Ovis aries: one gene and its partner. The protein of the gene in region 1 interacts with the protein of each later gene in a biochemical or structural test. Links are inferred from orthologs where the notes say so. Each region holds a gene or a part of one and is shown on either strand. Other genes may lie near its edges.

What was found.
Region 2: the proteins of FERMT2 (region 1) and ILK form a complex in vitro, tested with the Homo sapiens proteins (2 studies listed by BioGRID). The link is inferred for Ovis aries from reciprocal best matches to the Homo sapiens genes FERMT2 and ILK.

What each region holds. Positions count from the first base shown.
Region 1 is NC_056060.1:63,641,079-63,651,001, forward strand, and holds the end of FERMT2 (fermitin family homolog 2), read right to left. Parts: intron 9,817-9,923; coding exon 9,595-9,816; intron 7,662-9,594; coding exon 7,638-7,661; intron 7,104-7,637; coding exon 7,083-7,103; intron 6,508-7,082; coding exon 6,383-6,507; intron 6,057-6,382; coding exon 5,915-6,056; intron 4,964-5,914; coding exon 4,790-4,963; 3' UTR 3,682-4,789; downstream 1-3,681. UniProt on the Homo sapiens protein: Scaffolding protein that enhances integrin activation mediated by TLN1 and/or TLN2, but activates integrins only weakly by itself. Binds to membranes enriched in phosphoinositides.
Region 2 is NC_056068.1:46,198,989-46,209,011, reverse strand, and holds the start of ILK (integrin-linked protein kinase), read left to right. Parts: upstream 1-3,494; 5' UTR 3,495-3,682; intron 3,683-4,004; exon of another isoform or gene 4,005-4,009; 5' UTR 4,010-4,031; coding exon 4,032-4,120; intron 4,121-5,928; exon of another isoform or gene 5,929-7,909; coding exon 7,910-8,075; exon of another isoform or gene 8,076-8,103; intron 8,104-8,245; coding exon 8,246-8,341; intron 8,342-8,524; coding exon 8,525-8,621; intron 8,622-8,714; coding exon 8,715-8,798; intron 8,799-8,897; coding exon 8,898-8,983; intron 8,984-9,101; coding exon 9,102-9,211; intron 9,212-9,320; coding exon 9,321-9,448; intron 9,449-9,543; coding exon 9,544-9,665; intron 9,666-9,728; exon of another isoform or gene 9,729-9,760; coding exon 9,761-9,860; intron 9,861-9,967; coding exon 9,968-10,023. Other genes in the region: RRP8 (ribosomal RNA-processing protein 8), read right to left, coding at 1-66, 294-390, 475-581, 711-840, 931-1,384, 1,611-1,980, 3,134-3,232. UniProt on the Homo sapiens protein: Scaffold protein which mediates protein-protein interactions during a range of cellular events including focal adhesion assembly, cell adhesion and cell migration.

The DNA of each region.
Region 1 (9,923 bases):
TTTATGCTCAAAAGTTTTTTTTTTTAATTGTCCAATATCTGCAAACCATATTTATACAGGTATGCTAAACCTGTCTGGTTGGTTGTGGTGTTTTTATCACAAATTTAATTAACATTGAACTTGGACCATTTCCCTGAGTAGTAAGAGATAATGCTTGGCCAGTGAAGCCACATGAGATTATAATTAGATCTCATGAAATACTGGTCTCAAATTATTTTAAGTGCTTGTAATTTTTAGTAATATGCAGGCCAAGGCACAGACATCAAAAGAGAAACTCAACTAGGTGAGTGTGTCTGTGTGTGTGCTGATAACTGTTTACTAAGAGAATAAATAGAGAATTTTAATGTACACACTCAGCCTGGGAAACTTAGTATTGTTTATTAAATAAAGCAGAGAAAGCAAGAGAGGAATCAGCACAGTGGGAAATCAGGTCACCAGATAAGGCTTTTTTGCTACCCTGTTTCCTGTTCTGGGTGGCTCTGCCATCCACTGGGAGAGATTCATTCCTCTTACCCAGATTGACAGTTTCCCATTTCCTGTCACTCTCTGCCACCTCCCTCCCCCATTCTTGACCTGCCAGACCAAAGCAGTTCAAACAGATAAAGACACAGTTAATTTGCTGAAGAGCACAGAGCTTTCAGTAAACAACTTCTTCCTGGGCAGTTCTGTGTGGAGATGACAGGAACTTTATCAGCAGAGTAAGAATTGAATCCACTTATTATTGTATGTCTATTGGGCCTACACTCCCCACAGAGCAAGTCAGTTCACCCCTGCCTTTCCTTTGCAACTTTATAGCCACTAAAAGAGGGAACAGCTACAGTAGCCACAAAAACATTTTGGGAGAGGGGGAGGCAGGATTATCTGGAACCAGCATCTGCATTTTTAGAATAAAGCAGAGCATGGATGATAGGCGGCAGCCGTGCAAGGTCATGGGTGGAGGAGAGGCATTCAAGAAGTATCAGTGATGATACTATGTCACAGAGGGATGGATCTCAGAAAGTCCTGTTCTTATTTTCTGAATTATCAGAGCAGTGAGTATGTTACCATGTTTTGACTGATGGTCAAACACAGCAGCAGCCCTTGTCAAACAATTATACGGGGTAGAAATAATTAAGAAAAGTATAAGATAAGCATGCATTCCAGAGTATCAAAGAAGTTTTGAGTTAAAAAAAAAAAAACCAACTAATATTTTACTGGGAAACTACTACATTTAATGTAGGTAAATTGTTGTGTACTTGAAACATTTTCTTTAACTCTGTGCAGTTATCTCCCAGATAAATTAAAGGCCAGGAACCCAGATTGGTCTGATCCCACTACATCACTAACTGATAAATTATTAAAAGCACCTCAATAAAACTTTTAACATAATAAAGAACAAAACTATGGAATATAAAATGAAATAAGCACTATCTCTACACTGGCCAAGAACTGCCAAGTGGCTTTCCTTCCACAAAGTTCATGTCTCTGACGTGGTGGTGTATAGAGTGTATGATCTACATCCTTCTGGATGTAGATCAAATCACCACAGTGTACACTGTAAATACCTTACAGTTTTGCAAATTATCCCTCTGTAATGCCTGGGGAAAAACAAGTCCATGTCTTTAAGTCCTTGACTTTCGAAGTTCGACGTTGCATAAAAAATTATTTGTACCAAGTGAAGATTAGTGACCAACTGCATCAGGGGCTTCCAGCTGGTCTTTAAACTGCTGTTGTAAGAGAACGAGTTGCAAGAGAGCTTAGTCTCTTGTCCCCTGTGCCTTCGTGTCTACCTGAAAATGAGTTACTGAGCAGAAACCAGAAGCTGTGTCTAGAGGCCCTGTGGTGTTTTTTTCGTTGACTGCTGTCATCTCTGTAGGGACCACCATCAATAGGGCTCCCCAGGATTCATGAAGTACCACTGGATAGGGAGATGGAAATCAGGGTTCCACTTCTAGCTCTGCCTTGCCATTTGTCAGTTATAGCCATGTGACTTCAAACAGGTTACTTGGCTTCACTGAGCTTCATCTACAAAATGAGGAGGGAGAGTTGCATGAATCTTTTAAAAAGGGCTCTCCTGGTGGCTCAGATGGTGAAGAATCTGCTTGCAATCCACGAGACCTAGGTTCTATCCCTGGGTCAGGAAGATCCCCTGGTGGAGGTCATGGCAACCCACTCCAGTTTTCTTGCCTGGAGAATTCCACGGACAGATGAGCCTGGAAGGCTATAGTCTGTGGGGCTGCAAAGAGTTGGACATGACCAAGTGACTGACACTTTTAGAAGAGATAATGTATGTGAAAGCACTTAGCATGCCTCTCAGTGCAGAGAGTATCCAAAAAGTGTTTCCTCCATATTCAACTGAGGCTGAAAAGTTCCAAGTTGTAACAACCATCACTATATTCAATAAACAAATATATGTTAATAGATCCTAGGTAGAAACCACAACGCTCAGATCCAGTCCTCAAAAAAGTAATAACTCAAGTAATAATTTATTAGGGGCAATAGGATATACTCAATCCTAATAAGGATGACTGCTCTTAAGTTCCAAAAAGGACCAAATTCAGTGGCAGTTCTAAGGAGTAAGAGAAAATGTTTGGCTACAAGGAAAGTTGGAAGTACTAGTGGATGAAAGAACATTTGACCTCTTTCTAAAATTTCTAAAATGCTAGAAAGCTCAGATGTGAACAGGTGGCGACTAGAAGGTTTGGGCAATGAATGGAGATGGGTGAGGGCAGTGTGTCTGCAGTCGCCCAGTTTGAGCTGGGGAACAGGCCACAGAAGACCTCTGAACGTTTGACTGGGGACCATTAGATTTTATGCTGTGAGCAACCAGGAGTTACTAGAAGAGCTGAAATACAGCCTGGTGCTGTGTTGGGGCTAAACTAATCTCAAAATCCCTGGGAGGGCAGAAGGGCCACCAGAGGCTGAACAATCAGCACAGAGGCTATTCTCCCTTGTGGGGAGGCCGTGGGACCAGCAAGGACGCAGGTGTGTGCCATAGACTAAATATATTTGGGGCTTTTAGCAAGTGACAGTATAAGTTGATGACCTGTACTTAAGAGGAGGAACAGGAACATATTTTTACTTTTTTTTTTTTTTTTAATGGGAAGGAGCTCTTAAATTTTTGAGCAAGGCTTGTTACGACCTGGCCTTAGAGTACAAAGAAAAGCCATGGAGAATGTGACATAGGCCAAAGATCTGCATTCAGGGGACAGTGAGAGCAGAGATGGAAGAAAGGCACTGGGCTGCACGAGCGAGTATCACCAGGGCTTGGCCTTATTAATTGCAAGGGGTGAAGGAGAAAGTCCAGAACTGAAGTTTTGAGTCTGAGTGATGATGCAATAGCAGTAACAATACAGAGTAAATTCATTTAAAAAATGTGTTTTCTTAAACTGAGTCATTTTGCTGTTTAAAATCAGTTCTGCTCAAGCCAGCAGCGTCAGTTCATCTGTCATATTTCTATTTATAGCTACATTTCTAACATAAATATTTTACAGTTTATCCTCAAGTAGCAGGAAAAATGAGGGGTTTCACCTGAAGTGGAAGACTTCACCTTCAAGGTTAAGTACGCCTGTCTGGTGACACTGCAGAATACTAAGCACACTGTTCTCACAAGCTGCAGGTACAGCGTTTACAAAAGCGAAAGTTCATGTCTACACAGCTCATGTCATGTGAACAGAAAAAACAAGAAGTACAAAAGAAACATTAAATAAAAGATTTTGCTTTTATTTAAAATAAAATGTATTTATACAGTCTTTAAACCATGGATTATTGAACAATACTGGTAATCTACCCCTCCCTGGCACCCTTTTGGGCTATGTGAGCTAGGAATTTTCTGACTAGCACCAATGCAGGTTGTAACAGCGCAACAGACTAGAACACGGCCAGTCCAGGCATTAGAGTTAAGGACATTGTGGCAAATCATGACTATAATGAAGTCATCCTTAATTTAGCAGATATTAAAACTGCACATTAATTATATTTTAAAGAGCATTTAATTAATGCAAAGATGCTACATCTAAGCCATTTGCTAGTTGTGAGTAGATTTTTAAAAAACTGTACAATTTTATAAAATTTGTGTTTGTACATTAGTTACACAAAATGCATACTTCATAGACCTTTACTTCATATTGTAATGCAAAAGTTGCATATTTTAGGAGACAGTGAATATGCTGGTGAATACTAAAAGTGTTGTAATACAATATGGTGTAAAAATAAAAACACAAGACAATATACATACATGCTTATTCAAGGACAAAAACCAGGCATAACGACTAATAGCATTTTCCTTCAAGATCAAACAATGACATTATTAAATACCAGGCACCTTTTGTAGGCCTAATTTATTTTGGGGTTGGGGGGGGGGAAACGGATGACAGATGGCTACCAAAAGTATGATATTTGAAAAATTATGAGGTCAAATTAAACATATATTAAAACACATGCATTAAACATGATAAATAGACTTCATATAGTTTAAGCCCTGGATAGCTTTAAAGTAGATGGCTTGAGTTTCTTACAGTTTGGCTAGCTTGAATCAGTGATGTTTTGTTCCTAACTTACCCACTACTTCAGTTTCAATTCCTGGCTCTAAGGAACATGTGCCATATTCAAGTCCATACATTGTATCATGATAGCAGATTAATAGTCGTGCTTGTTAGTGCACATATTAACTGGTCTGGTAAGGCAAAAAAGTTTTCATGATAAAATAATGAATTTCAAGCTTACTTTATTAAGCAGCATATAACAAACAACAGCTTTTAAAGTTAAATAACTGTTATGGCCATGGAGTTTCATTACACAGCATTTCTGTTCACACCCAACCACTGGTAAGTTTGTAGAACATCTCTTCATCTAAACTCTCATTTTGGTCTTTTGCACGTGTTGAGAGAAATATGTAGCCACCAATGAATTCATGAACCACTTTGCAATCTACTTCAGTGCAAATGAAGGACAACCGTACTTCATCTGCAAACTCTACAGTGACCTAGAACAAAGACAGAGAACCATCAGTCCCTGCAGAAGTCCAGACGGCTGGGTCCAAGTGAGGCCACTATACTTAAGGTCTGTCCTGATCATAAAATACTTGCTGGTCCTCAAAAAAAATTTTTTTAATCCTAAACTAATAATGCCTTCAAGTCCAAAAGCATAAGTAGAAGTTTATAGCCCTTCCTCTCCTTTTTTCTTGTTCTGAAAAGGAAGGCTGAATGCAAGAGGCTTAGGTCATTAAGTTCCCAAAAGGTCTCTGGTGATTCAATTAATGAGTGTCTCCCTTCAAGTCCTGGGAGAAAACCTATTTCCTGTGTTTAGCTATTTAACCTTTAGGTTTCATGTTTGAATATTTCAGAAATACAAGATTCTATGAAGTAATTGAAATCAGTACAAATCCAATGACCCTAAAACAAAGGACTTATTAGGGAAATATTCTGTTTAAGTGAGAGTCATATACTCCAAGGCGAGGGGTAGCATGGTGTGCCAGGCTTTAGAGCCCGAAGTATCCCAGTTTAAATCCTAATTCTCAGTGTGCAGTCATGGACAACAATGGCCTTCATTTGTACAGTGGGGATAATCCATCTACCTTGCAGGGCTGGGGTAATGTTTAGAAATAGGGTACAGATGTAAAACATCTACTATCATGCTTGGCACAAAGCAGGCATTCACTAAAGAGCAGCTGCTATTTGTGAGTGGAAAGGGAATAAATTCATTACAGAAAGACAACCTGAAAGATTAGCCAATATTGTAACATATTACGCTCTTACAAGTATCTGGGCTACTTATAAAATAGGCAAGTAGGAAATGAACAACCAAGCATGTTTTATACTTTAAGAGGAAATGGCACAAAGAATCTTAAACATTTATAGGGCCTTTTCTTCTTAATTAATTCATTTTTAGCAGATCGACTATGTGTATGTGTTCAAGCAGGATGGTTACAGCTTACCATTTTTATTTCCCAGTTTACATTCCACTGTTTCATGTTACTGAAACGCCAGGTTTTAATTGCATCTCCCGTGCTGGCGTCCATCCTAATCAGTCTATTGTATGCAATTCCGATAAGTTCTTCTTTTTTGCCCCCTTGGAACCTACAGAATTAAAAACATAAATACATGTTTTAAAACAGAGGTGGTAGGGGGACATGTTGGTCTGTTTTTCTTGAAGATATGTACTTTTTAACTCTTAAAGTGCTATTCTTGCCTGAGTAAAAAGAGAAATGAAATCACTTTAAATTTTTGGTGAAAAAATTATAAGCAGAGAAAATACATTCCAACATTCTTTAAATTTTACTGTGTAATAGGTTAATGGGTTTCAGTAGGTAGCTTTAAATGTTTAATTTCTAATTACATGAAGTCAATTAAGTAAGAAGGCACAGACTGAGGTTTACACATCGGAGCTGAGTAGAACCACTGACCTTGCAATAAAGTGTGTGATGCCAAATTCTGGTAATGATTGCCAAGCTTGAATAAACCTCATCTTGGCTTCAATTAAACTCATCTGAGCTACATTCTGATGGGCCTCCAAGATTCTTGCCGTTATCTAAACATGAGTAAACATCATATTTACTATTAGATATTATTCTTTCATGGTAGAATCAAGACAAAAAAAGATTAAAACACTGAATTATGTGCCCCATGCCCCAAAATTACGTATTGGGAGAGACGAAATCAGAAAATATCTGAAAATACATTTGGGAATTTTAGTAAACTAATGACTTTCCAAACTAAACTTCAATATATAGTTTTTCTTAATTTTAGTTCCGTATGTCAAGAAAGAATAAGTACTAGTAGGTATATATAATTGTTGAGACTTTTTCAAGTACACACACATATGATAACACAAGTTCTAATCCTCATATACTGATGGGTTTTAAGTTCAGTACCAAGATATCTGATCAGAATGAGTGCCTGCCATACAGGTTTCTAGCACTAGAAATCACTGCAATGATTTTAAAATTTTTCTAAAGGAGTAATTAGAAAGGTTAGTTTTTAAGTTTACTCACTTTGGGATGCCTATCTGCTCAAGAGTAGAGGGAAATTAATTCATGAGGGGAGACTGTAGCTAGGGCTTACATATTTTTAATTCTTTCTTTTTTTTAAATATGGAGAACTTACCAAATCTCTTATATAGCCTGGCTGGAGATGGCAATGCGAGGAAAAGAAAAAGGAAGCAGAAAGAAAAAAAAGGCAATCAGAAAAAATGGCAATGAAGCAAAGAAAAAGTTGCGGTAACCTGCAAACCAAAATTCCAGCCAAAAACCATGCAAAAAAATGACTTCAGGTGGAAACCAAGCAAAGTAAATGCAAGCATGAAAATGAAAATGAGAAAGCAGCGATTCTTTCCATTTAGAATACTGAGAAACACTCCACATTATTTTAGATTGTTAAGTGTTACTAAAATTAAGGGTAGAAATTTGTAGGGAGAAAATTTAAAATGCAAATAATCTTTTCCCCTTCATGTACCAGGTCTTACTGATTAGGGTAAAGCTAATTATTTTAGTAGCAAGATAAAAAAGAAAATTAATACTCAAAAGCCTTTAATCTTGTCTTATATTGAGTCAGATAATATGATCCATGCACAGCTTTTCAGAAAATAGTTGAAGGCATTAAATAAGTGCAGTGACCATACTGTTTCTTTATTTACAAAAGAAAAGCAAACCCCTCAATTACCATCTTTTTTTTGCATCCTTTTTCCTGGAAGGGAAAATAAAAATATGCCATACACTACACTAGGAGTGGTGGCTACAAATATATCAGTTCATTTCAATTTGGATTAACATGAATAAAATGAAGAATAATTCTTTCCTCTAACATGTAAAAATCCAGTTTGGGAGTCATAGTTATGAAAAAAATATCCATAGCAACTTTAATAGACAGTCTTGGGGAATTAAAATAGATTGTAACAAAGGCTATATGCGCCTGAAGACTTTATGCCCTGGTAGGGCTGAATGACCCCATAGCCTGCACAGCTTAGACCTACCTGACTCCTAAATGCCACTGGATTATACAGTTTAACAAATCCAATTACTGAGCCACTAAGTCCAACAAACAGTACAGTACATGACACACAACAGCAACTAAACTCCTGCTTATCAGCTCTTAACTAGGTGTCAGGGCAATACTTGACTCAACCTCCTGCTTAGGGAAAGGAGAATTCAAAATAAATGTGCATTTGATAAGAGGACAATGTGGAAGACAAGGCTAGAAAGCTCCTTAACCTCAGACCACATACATACTACCGTCCGGTCAGTTAAGGACAGCCACACATTCTTTGTCTTGAAGAGAATCTTCAGTTGACTTGTAGTCAAGAACTCACCAAAAGAAGATTTATCTTTTCACAGCTAAACCTATCATTGGGAAAACAATTCAGTACCTGCCTGACAGCTAAACTAACATTTGGCAATCTTTACAATTATAGTTTAAGATCTTTTATTCCTGATACCTGATAGTGAAATGGTAAACTGCTTAGATTTGAAACTATTCATTGACTTTGAAGGCAAATGAATCCACTTTTAGAAACAAGTCTCTTTATAAATAACTTTAAAATGAACTAACCTAAGAATTAAAAAATGAAATTAGTACTCGATTCACTTTCCCTTGTTAACTTACAATCTACATTCCACACAGCTCCAAGGGCATTTCCTCCATTCCTCACTACTCCCACATCATATGACTACGGGATAAACAATTTCCATGTAGCTTACACAACTTCTGCAACTTAAAAGACAAATACTTGGTGATTAAAACTTTTGAACATTTCCAGCTAAGGGATTTCAGACCCATATGATAAACACTATTTAAAGTTAAGAATTAACAAGTGTTCTGGGTATATCATTGGGCCTTTCCAGTAATGTTTTAAAATTACTCCTTAACAAAGATAAAAATGAAGTATTTATTTCAAAGTTCTTCTTCACCCCCTTCCTAAATTGGAGCCTTTTTCCTTTTATGGCATGATGCTGGGTATCGAGAATACTGGGGGCTATCCCAAGTGAAACTCCCCTGGCAAAGAACCTTTTGTGTTGGACCGAAGAACCATTTTCCTAAATAGCAATCCTTTTATGGTAGTCATTTCCAGGAAAGGAATTCTAAACAGAGGGAACAAAAGCAGTGAATTTCAATGAAAATTTACCAAATGTTGTCACAGTATGCAAATCTGGCTTAGGTTTTGACTGTTAATGTTAAGAAAAGACAATGTTAAACATGGACTATAAACCACGTAAAGTTTATTTCCAAAGCTGGAAAGGTCCATTTTGACAGCAAAAAGAGTCTTCAGAGATTTGGCTGGGAAATGCTGGCTGTGCTCTGTATCAGACTTACTTTACTTAAGGAATAAAATGGCATGAACTGTGGAACACAAAGCAGTAAGACCATATTCAATTCCCTGAAAAGAATATCCTGTTAGCATAGTGATTTCCTCGGGTGGTTTAGAATAAATATGCTCCCAACTACTCCACCTTATTATCCTTCCTATTAAAAAAAGGACTTTTCTTAAATGACCAATTTAAACTGACTGAAAGCTATTTTTTCCTTATATTTTAACCACCTGATACAAAATTAAGACTACCAATTAAGACTAAAAAGTAGTGTTTAAGAGGGGAAACTAAAGTATATGTAGAAAACTGTTTACCTGCTTGTTCTTGTACTTTTTTAGATAGCGAGGGGATACCAGACATTCAGGATTTATATCAGTTGTGATCTGCTCTGGTACTAACTGAGGATCTGGATTTAAATGCTGCATCTTCAGAAAGGAAAGAATATTTTGAACTTCTAAGTTGTAAGAACTGTCTGCCATGGTCTTGCCTTTGGAGGCCAATCTGCAGGCTGCCATCCAGTGTGCATACTGTTTTTCCTGTGAAAAGAAATACTGAGGTTTGGAATCTATCACATGATAAATCCTTGAGTATAAAACATAAGAATGAATGGTCAACTCACTAAGGAAGCAAAGAAAACCTAGGT
Region 2 (10,023 bases), on another chromosome or scaffold:
GGGCCCTACCCGAGGGGGCCCGGTCTTTTCAAAGTCAAACAAGAAGAAGTGGCTGTTGGTCAGATCCTAGGGACAGAAAAGACCCAGTGAGCTCTAAGTCCTCACCCCAGCTCTTCAAATCACCTCTGTCCAGGCCCCACCCCTGCTCAGAAAGCTTCCCAGCTCTCTCCCACTACTCAAGCCTTCAAGGAGCAAACATCTCTGTCTGACAATGACCTCCTTCCTGAACACCATTATTAGCCTGAAGGGCCACCTATATGACAAAAATAGGACAGACTTCCTGGGGCCCTCACCTTGGAGATGACCTTGAAGCCCAGTTTGGTGACAGCCCCCAGAAAAGTCCGAACATCTTCAAAGCGGCTGCTGACCTCAGCCACTTTCAGGAGACCCCTGAGAAGGACGGAAAGTTCTGGGTAAGTACACCGACACGCGCATGTGCACACAGTCATGCAGCTGTGTCCTGGGAACACCTACCCTGGCTTCAGCACTCGATTTGCCTCCTCCAGGAAGTCTCTGATGTTGGTTCCCATCAGTGAAAGGCAGAACACAGCCACATCTATAGATTCATCCTCCAGAGGCACCTGTGGAGAGTGAGAAGGTTGTACTAAGCACACATTATAGGAAGGAGAAAGCCAGCACTGAACGCTAGGAGTAGACACAAGGATGCAGGGTGGGCAGAGCGCATTTCATGGAAGGAGAGAGGGGCTTACCTGGGCCATGTCACACACAGTGACCCGGGGGTCCAGAGAGGCCAAGTCAAAGCAGTGTACACGGTTCCGGATACTTGAAGCCAGGCGGCAGTCCCCACAGCCAAAGTCAGCTACCACTAGGGACGCAGGCCTGGGAATGGAAGGGAGGAAGAGCTCACTGGTCTGGTCTGAGCCTGGGACTGACACGCCTAGCTTTTCACAGCGCCCGATTTTCACTAACCGCTGGCGAAGATCCCTGGCGATGCGGTCTACCGGCTGCAGTGGCCACTTCTTGACTTGGTTCTGGAAGCCACGGTGGTAGAGGAGAAAGGCCTCAGGGTCTTCCTGGAAGAGGCGCTGCGCAGCACTGCTGGGCCCTGAGTACAGCTGTTCATTGAGGTAGCGGAACCGGGCACCATCCAGACGCTGGGCCATGCGGGCTCGAAGAGCCTCTGCCCGGGCTCCATGGCTGTCTGGACTGGGGGCAGAAGGCACCTCTGCCTCCTCTGCAGAGGCTGGGGCTGGGGCCTGCTCTGGTGGCTGAGATGGCCGAAACTTGTTCTTCTGTCTACGCTTGTTCTTCTGCCGGTTCCGCCATTGCTTGCGACTCAACGTATGGGGAGGATTAGAGGAAGGGGTCTCACAGGTTGGCTTGGTGAGATCACTTGTAGCACTAGAATTCCAAGCTTTAGAATCTGAAGAAAGAGAGATAGAAAGGCATACTGGGGAGCAAGATACCCTGAATTCAGAGACTTAGCATGTCACCCTGGCCATACCCCTGTCCCTAAGACAGAAACTGTGGTCTATGGGAAAGTACTTCTTATTCCCTAACTCCACACCTACTGGTGGCAGAGGAACTCTGTTATAGGTAGGGTCAGCTGAATCCCACACCCCCAGCCCTCATCATCCCACAAATACTACCTGTTTGGTCAACACTGTCCAGGGGCTGGGCAAGATTTGAAGGGATCTGTTTCTGGCATTTCCTCTTTTTTTTCTCTTCTTCTGCCAGGTCACTGCCAAGAAGAACCCCTTTGTGGCACTTCTTCCTTTCCACTTCCTCTTCCTTGGAGTCACTGCTAGGTGGGCCCTGTTTGTGACGTTTCTTCTTCCTTTTCTCCTCTACTTCACTAGACGCACCAGCAAACAAGCCCTTTTTCGTGCGTTTCTTCTTTGTTCCCACTACCTCCTCCTCCTCCTCAGAGTCACTGCCAGGCAGGCTAGGGGGCTGCTGGGGAACAGATGCTACCTCCAGGGCCCGTAATGTGGCCAAGAGCTGGCGGCGGTTGGCGCCCTGGGGGAAAACAAGGGATGAATGCAGGGGTGAGGAGAATGGATGGGGCCTAGGGAGTAAGAAGAGAGATGGGGACCTCACTCAGATGCTGTAACGAGGCATCTGGATTATTCTCAATCAACTTACCTAGCCTAACACGAAGACTGTCAGGGCCTGAAGAACTTTCAAAACTGCCATCCCAACCTTTGGGAGGCTGGAGAGCAGAGAAACCACCCACCTCACTTTCTTCATTGGATAGATGAGGTGATGGGGTTCCCAGAGAAACACTGTAAGGCCACGAGCTACAGGACCGAGGCTAGTGACCGGGAGTTCCAACTCTCAATCTCAGGTTTCTACCTCTAGCTAATACCTTTTTATAAAAAGTAGGAAGATTTTTGAAAATAAGAGTGACATGATCACACATGTGTGTATTAAAGATGCCTCCAGTTGCAGTGTAAAGAACCGAAAGAAAAAAAAAAAAAACACTGAAAGAGACAAGCTGCAGACAGAGGCCAGTGGCGGGGATTACAGCAGTGGGTCGAGGGGTTGAAGAGGAGAGAATAAAGCAGGCAGATTTCATGTCACAGGCTGACTGAAGGACAGAAAGAGCCTGAGCAAGTGCAGCAGCCCTCACATCGGCAGAGGCTTAAAGGAGGACTACTGTCTGGGAGGCCGTTCTGGACTAAGTCCCACTGGACGGATCCCTCATCCTGGAGACTCTCAGTACTCCCTCAGCTCCAGCTCCCTTTGAACAGCGGCACTGACAGCCCTCGTTGCCATTCAGTTTTGCTCTTTTCAATCTCCACACGGCAACCAGTGACATTTTCAAAACGCAAATCTGAAGAAATCATCCCCCTGCTAAAACACTCCATTGGCTTCTATCTTTAACGTGCAAATATTCTAACGTAGCCCTCCAATTTCTACCACACTGCCTCTCATTCTGTGTCATGCTCCCTTGACCCGGGTCTCTCCACATGCCTTTCCTTCCAAGAAACCCTCTTTGCTTCACTAACTTCTACTCACCAATTCTCTCTCAGTTCCAACGTCACTTTCTTTTGGAAGTTCCGGATCTGGGGAGGCTGCAAGCGGCCCCCCTCCCCCTAATTACACACGCGGCGCGCCCCAGCTCCGGAATCCAGCAGTCTGTTCTGAGTACTCCTGCAGGGCCACTCACCTTGATTTGAGAGGTTGCCGTGGGCCGAAGCCCTAAGGCTACAGACCCGAGGTCCGCGACTACAGGGGCCTCCTCGGCCCACTCCGGCTCCTCGAACATGGGGCTGGGGAGCGCAAGGTTGCGGGATCCACCCGCTTCTCCACGTGCAGACCACGTCTCTAAGAATCAGACCGCTCAGAGACGCCGGAACAGGGCAGGAAACCAAAGAGTGAGAGCTGAAGTGGCTAGAGCAGCCGGCGCAGTGCCGAAAACCATCGAGTTTAGACACTGGTGGGCTAGAAGGGCAAGGAAGGCGGGAGGGAGGGGCCGGGAGAAGGAGGCCCGCGCTGGCCTGAGAGGGCCAGGGGCGGGGCCGGGCGGCGGGCGCGGCCGGACGGGAGTTCCCCGGAGAAGGCTCCTCTAGCCCGAGTCCCGGTGAGTGTGGGGGCACCCGTGCCCCCTCCCCAAGGCTCGAGCTTTACCAGGCGGTCACCCCTCCCTCCACCTACTCGGTTCCGAGTCGGGAACGAGGGCCATCCTCGGCAAGGACCTCCGATCGCCTCCTCCAGGGTATACGGCGCCTAAACTCCCCACCCCCACCCCCCAGCTCTGTTCGCGGGTAGGGTCTCTGTGCTTGCTCTCGTGACATCCCTTCGGAAGACACTACCTCTTCATCAACGCCTACTTCGCCCGATCCGCCTTTCCCTCGCGCTCAAGGGACACAGTCCAGGACCATTCCGCTGCCTCCCTAACTCCTTACAGACATCCAGTAGCTGGGGACGCAGAGCCCAGACCCCCAGCCCAACACCACACTTCTCTCCTGTAGGGGACAAAGCCTGGGGCTCACCCCCCCCCCCCCCAAGATCCTTCTACAGTTCCCACACTTTCCCAGTCTAGGGGACTCTGCCGGGACGCTGCTATGGACGACATTTTCACTCAGTGCCGGGAGGGCAACGCGGTTGCGGTCCGCCTGTGGCTGGACAACACGGAGAACGACCTCAACCAGGGGTGAGCTGGGGTGGCTGGGGGGCGAGAGGAAGGGCAAAGACATGCTCCTCTCCGCTCTGTGGGGTGCTCACTTCTGGTGCGGGCGGCTTACTTTCCTATTCAGTGTGATGAGGATTAAACAGCCTGTCAGCGGGGCAGAGGGTCTCCACACCGGAAGCTGTTGTTTGAGCTGAATCTTGACTGAATAAGAATTTACAGGCAGAATCTGCAGAGTATTCTAACTTCAGTGAACCTCATGGGCAAAAGCTAGGGGGCAAGACACGGAGCAGAGAGTGCCAGAAACTGTCCGGAGCTCCATATGGCTAGAGGAGAGAAAACCGCTGGGCTTCTGTGGGCTAAAGCTCTAAGCACAAGTGCAGAATGACAGAAGTTAAGACTGGAAAGGTCTGCAAGGGTCAGTCAGATCATGCAAGAGTATTTAGGCTATAATAATTTTTTATTGCAAGGGCAAGGGTTTAGAGCCATGTAATGGTACGATGAGATTGTCCATTTGTTAAGTGTCATCTTGGATGCTTTATGAAGAGCAAGTGGTGATGTGAAGAGAGGCAACTAACTGCCTAGTCCATCTCAAGTGGTGATGGCTTAGACTAGAATTGGGACAGGCAAAAAAGAAAAAAGTGATCAAATTCCTGAGATCTTTTGGATAAAGAATTGGTGAGACTTGGTGTGGAAAGTGAGGTCAAAGATGATGATCAGGGTTCTGGCTTGGGTAGATAGTGGTTCCTTTTATTGAGAAGGACAAGGCTGAAGGGTGGTGAGTTCCACTCTGCACACATTTAAGTGACAATAAAGTGGATGTGGAGTGGGCTGCTGGATTTCAGGAGAGATCTGACTTGGAGACAAAGATTTGGGCGATATTAGCATGACTGGAGAAGGCAATGGCACCCCACTCCAGTACTCTCGCTTGGAAAATCCCATGGACGGAGGAGCCTGGTAGGCTGCAGTGCATGGGGTCGCTAAGAGTCGGACACGACTGAGCGACTTCACTTTCACTTTTCATTTTCATGCATTGGAGAAGGAAATGGCAACCCACTCCAGTGTTCTTGCCTGGAGAATCCCAGGGACGGGGGAGCCTGGTGAGCTGGTGTCTATGGGGTCGCACAGAGTCGGACATGACTGAAGCGACTTAGCAGCAGCAGCAGCAGCAGCATGAAGATGGGCTTCCCAGATGGCTCAGCAGTAAAGAATCTACTTGCCAGGGCAGGAGCTGGCAGGAGATGCGGGTTCAACCCCTGGGTCTGGAAGATCCTCTGGAGTAGGAAATGGCAACCCACTCCAGTATTCTTGCCTGAGAAATCCCATGGACAGAGGAGCCTGGAAGGCTGGTCCATGGGGTTGCAAAGTCAGACATGACTAAGCATGTACACGCATGCACACACAGACACACACAGCACGTAGATGGCACCTGAAGAGGTGGATATGAAACCGGATGAGAAACCTAGAAGACCAAACAGGAAAATATGCTGCTGCTGCTAAGTCGCTTCAGTCGTGTCCGACTCTGTGCGACCCCACAGACACCAGCTCACTAGGCTCCCCCGTCCCTGGGATTCTCCAGGCAAGAACACTGGAGTGGGTTGCCATTTCCTTCTCCAACGCATGAAAGTGAAAAGTGAAAGTGAAGTCGCTCAGTCGTGTCCGACTCTTAGCGACCCTATGGACTGCAGCCCACCAGGCTCCTCCATCCATGGGACTTTCCAGGCAAAAGTACTGGAGTAGGCTTAAAGAAGTGAATGTTTCAATGAAAGGAGTGGTCAGTGGTACTCTAGATTGCTAAGAGGTCAAAGAACTTGAGCACTAAAGTGTAACCATTGAATTTACAATTATTTATGTATTTAATGATCTCTGTGAGAGCCGTTTCAGAGGAAAACAAGTGAAAAAAACCAGACTATACTTGGTTCCTTCATTTAAGGAACTATACTGAACACGCACTGGGTGCTAGAAGTCCAGAATCAGGCATAATGCTTGTCCTCAAGGCAGTGGTCTCCTGGGCAGGTTGAATGTGAAGTAGAGAAAGTGAATGTAGACAAGTTCTTTAAGGTTGGCTGAGACAGGAAGGCAAGAAAAGCAGTAGTGATGCTGATTCAGGATCGTAGAATTTTTTTAAAGTGAGGAGAAAATAGATTTTAGGTTTGAGAGTTAAGGATCACCTGTCACTTTCATCCAGGCTTTATGGGTCCCCATTAGACTCTACGCTATTTCTCTATAATTCACACTCGTTCCATTTTTCATATAATTCTTCAAACGGTGCTCTGATAAAGACAGAGAACACAGCTACTATTTTGTTGGTGGCATCATAAAGGTTAGGTAACTTTTTCCAATGAAGCTGGCATCAAAGAGTGGTATTAGTGAAAGTGGTGCAGGTATGAGTGGAAGGGCTTCGGGGCCCCAACTGGGTATATGGTGGATATTAAGTAAGGGTCAATTTCCTGCTGGTCGCTTTGGGATTAAAGTTCAGGCTCTGAGGTGACCGGAGCATGGCAGTGGGCAGAACCCTTGTGCCCATACTTTTGCTGTCAGGCTCTGGCCTTCTCTGGGGCCACAGACCGCCAGAGGCTGATAAACTGGGGCACAAATTAAAGAACTGGGATGCAAAACTGACTGATAAGTAAGGGGTGGTGATTGCTTTAGGAAGAGGGAGGGAATACCTCCCAGAAAAGCTTTTGGCTATCTTTGTGAACAGATGAGGGCAGCTGTAGAGGGAAATCAGTAAGTTAAAGGTCACACCCACCACCCATTTTGGCTTTGAGGACATCTGGATTGCCTGGGGTGACCATACCCCTGATCAGCTCCAGGCCCCGCCTAGAGCCCCCACACGGGAAGTGACCGCAGCACTAAGGCATCCGGAGGCTGACGGCCCAGACCACGGACCGCCCCCTTAGCTCCGCCCCTTGGATCTGCAGCCCAGGACTGGAGGGAATTTCCTTTTATGGCCCCAGGCTGTCAGGCAGGCCTAGTTTCCACCCAATTGTGGTTTTGTTGTTGTTGTTTTTTATACATTTAACTTTATAAAATAGAGAAGTTCTTGGGAAAAGAAAAAAGTTAGGTACAGCTTTCTAATTAAGTCATTCTCATTTTCTTGTTTTCTGTACCTAGGATTGCTTAAGAATCCTGTCTTATGTGGCGGTATCTGCCTCATGAATGACTTACCCAAAGCATTTCTCCTTTTCATTATAAACCCCTCCAAACCATCATTTTAATTCCATTCCCTTTTTAGATTCTAATTTCAGTATCAGAACCAAAACCAATCAGTAAACTTGCTTCCTCTTCCATAAACTGTGGCTTTTCTTCTCAAAGCTTCCCTTCCTTCCTATTAACATGCACTGAACAGCTGCTGTCAATTCTCAAAAAGCTTAGTCTAATAGACAAGACAGCCCATTTAACAGATTTTTACAATCCAGTGTGACAAGTACCTATGTAGTAAGGCAGTGTACAAGATATGGTGAAAACAGAAAAGAACCAACAGATGTTGCCAAAGGGGTGCAGAGGAAACCAGATGAAGAATGTTACCATTTAATGATAGAAGGTGCCTGGGAAGAAAGGCTAGAGGGAGATGAAAACAGTGAATCATATGGAATTGTTGGGATTTCAGGTAGTGGTTGGTTGGGTTTGAAACTCGGGAAGGTCTGGACTGGACAGCTTTGGGAGTTGCTGGCATGAATGAGAATCAAAGTTCTAGAGGTAAGGCTTCCCAGGGAAGAGTATGCAGAGAGAATATTAAAGTTTTTCCTGTGTCAAAGCCTTTGCCCCCATCCCACTTCCAAATCAATGACCCTTGCGCCTTCCTCATAGGGATGATCATGGCTTCTCCCCCTTGCACTGGGCCTGCCGAGAAGGCCGATCTGCTGTGGTTGAGATGCTGATCATGCGGGGGGCACGAATCAATGTGATGAACCGTGGGGATGATACCCCTCTGCACCTGGCAGCCAGTCATGGGCACCGTGATATTGTACAGAAGGTATGTATGAACCCCTTGATGCACATGCCTGGAAGTAAGACACAGGCATTATAACATAACGTACAAAGTATGTGTACTCATCTCCTTCCTTCCTTGCATGCCTTAGTACACTTCTCTCATTTGGGACTGACTGTACCTTCTACCTCTTTCTATTTGGCTATGGGCACCAGCTGCTACAGTACAAAGCTGACATCAATGCGGTGAATGAGCATGGGAATGTGCCCCTGCACTATGCCTGTTTCTGGGGCCAAGATCAGGTGGCAGAGGTGAGTACTCAGGCCCTGAACTCTGGGATGGGTGGGAAGAAGTTTGAGCTTGAGTGGGAGACTCTGGAACCCTCAACCCATCCTGTGAGTACTGTCCTGTGTGCAACATTCACAAGGTTTGTACTGCATCTGCACTCATGCTTAGTTGGGAATGCCCTCATCACAGCCATCTCTTAATTCCAGGACCTTGTGGCGAATGGGGCCCTTGTCAGCATCTGTAACAAGTATGGAGAGATGCCTGTGGACAAAGCCAAGGCACCCCTGAGAGAGCTGCTCCGAGGTCTGTCCCCACCCACCGCTGTGTCCTCGTCTTGTCCTAGCCTGTCTCTTTCCACACAACAGCTGAGGTCAAGACTTTGTCTTTCTTCCCCAGAGCGGGCAGAGAAGATGGGCCAGAATCTGAACCGTATTCCATACAAGGACACATTCTGGAAGGGGACTACCCGCACTCGGCCCCGTGAGTCAGCTGTGAGGGGAGGGGTGGTGAGAGAATAGTCCTGGACTCCTGGGGCTGGGAAAGAGGGAAGCTGGGTGCCTGACCTGCCCACACTCTCAGGAAATGGGACTCTGAACAAACACTCCGGCATTGACTTCAAACAGCTCAACTTCCTGGCGAAGCTCAACGAGAATCACTCTGGAGAGGTAACTCCCCACCCCACCCTATTACCTGTTGTGCACCTGTTTTAAGTCTCTCCTCCAGTTAGTGGGCAAGAAAACAGTGGCCTTAGTTAAAGCCTTCTAACCCTTATCTGTCCCTCAGCTATGGAAGGGCCGCTGGCAGGGCAATGACATTGTCGTGAAGATGCTAAAGGTTCGAGACTGGAGTACAAGGAAGAGCAGGGACTTCAATGAGGAGTGTCCCCGGCTCAGGTGGGGCAAGGCCTAAACTGGAAGCCTTGATTTCAAGGAGCCCTGTCAGCACCCAGAGGGAGATCTTTTATGCTGGATCTCAGCCAGGGGCATTCTCTCCCTCTTCCAGGATTTTCTCACATCCCAATGTGCTCCCAGTGCTTGGTGCCTGTCAGTCTCCACCTGCTCCTCACCCGACCCTCATCACACACTGGATGCCATACGGATCCCTGTACAATGTGCTACATGAAGGCACCAGTGAGTAGGGAGTGCCAAATCTCACTGCAGCAGGGTGTGGGGAAGGAAAGTCTGTGAGCCTCTCCAAATGATTTAACTCTTGCCTTCTCACTTAGATTTCGTTGTGGACCAGAGCCAGGCTGTGAAGTTTGCATTGGACATGGCAAGGGGCATGGCCTTCCTACACACACTAGAGCCCCTCATCCCACGACATGCACTCAACAGCCGTAGTGTAATGGTGAGATCACAACTTCACTCCCGGCCCAAGCCCCAGAGGTCCTTTCCCTAGAATAGGACTTACCTCCTTCCACACAACTATCTTCTCTTCCTCAGATTGATGAGGACATGACTGCTCGAATCAGTATGGCCGACGTCAAGTTCTCCTTCCAGTGCCCCGGGCGCATGTATGCACCTGCCTGGGTGGCTCCTGAAGGTGAGTGATGGCATTATGATGTGAGGCAGAGAAGGGGCAGCTCAGTAGTAATGGAAGGGAACACAGACAGGACAAGCAGCTGGAACAGATAAGTCCTATCCCTCTAGCTCTGCAAAAGAAGCCTGAAGACACAAACAGACGCTCAGCAGATATGTGGAGTTTT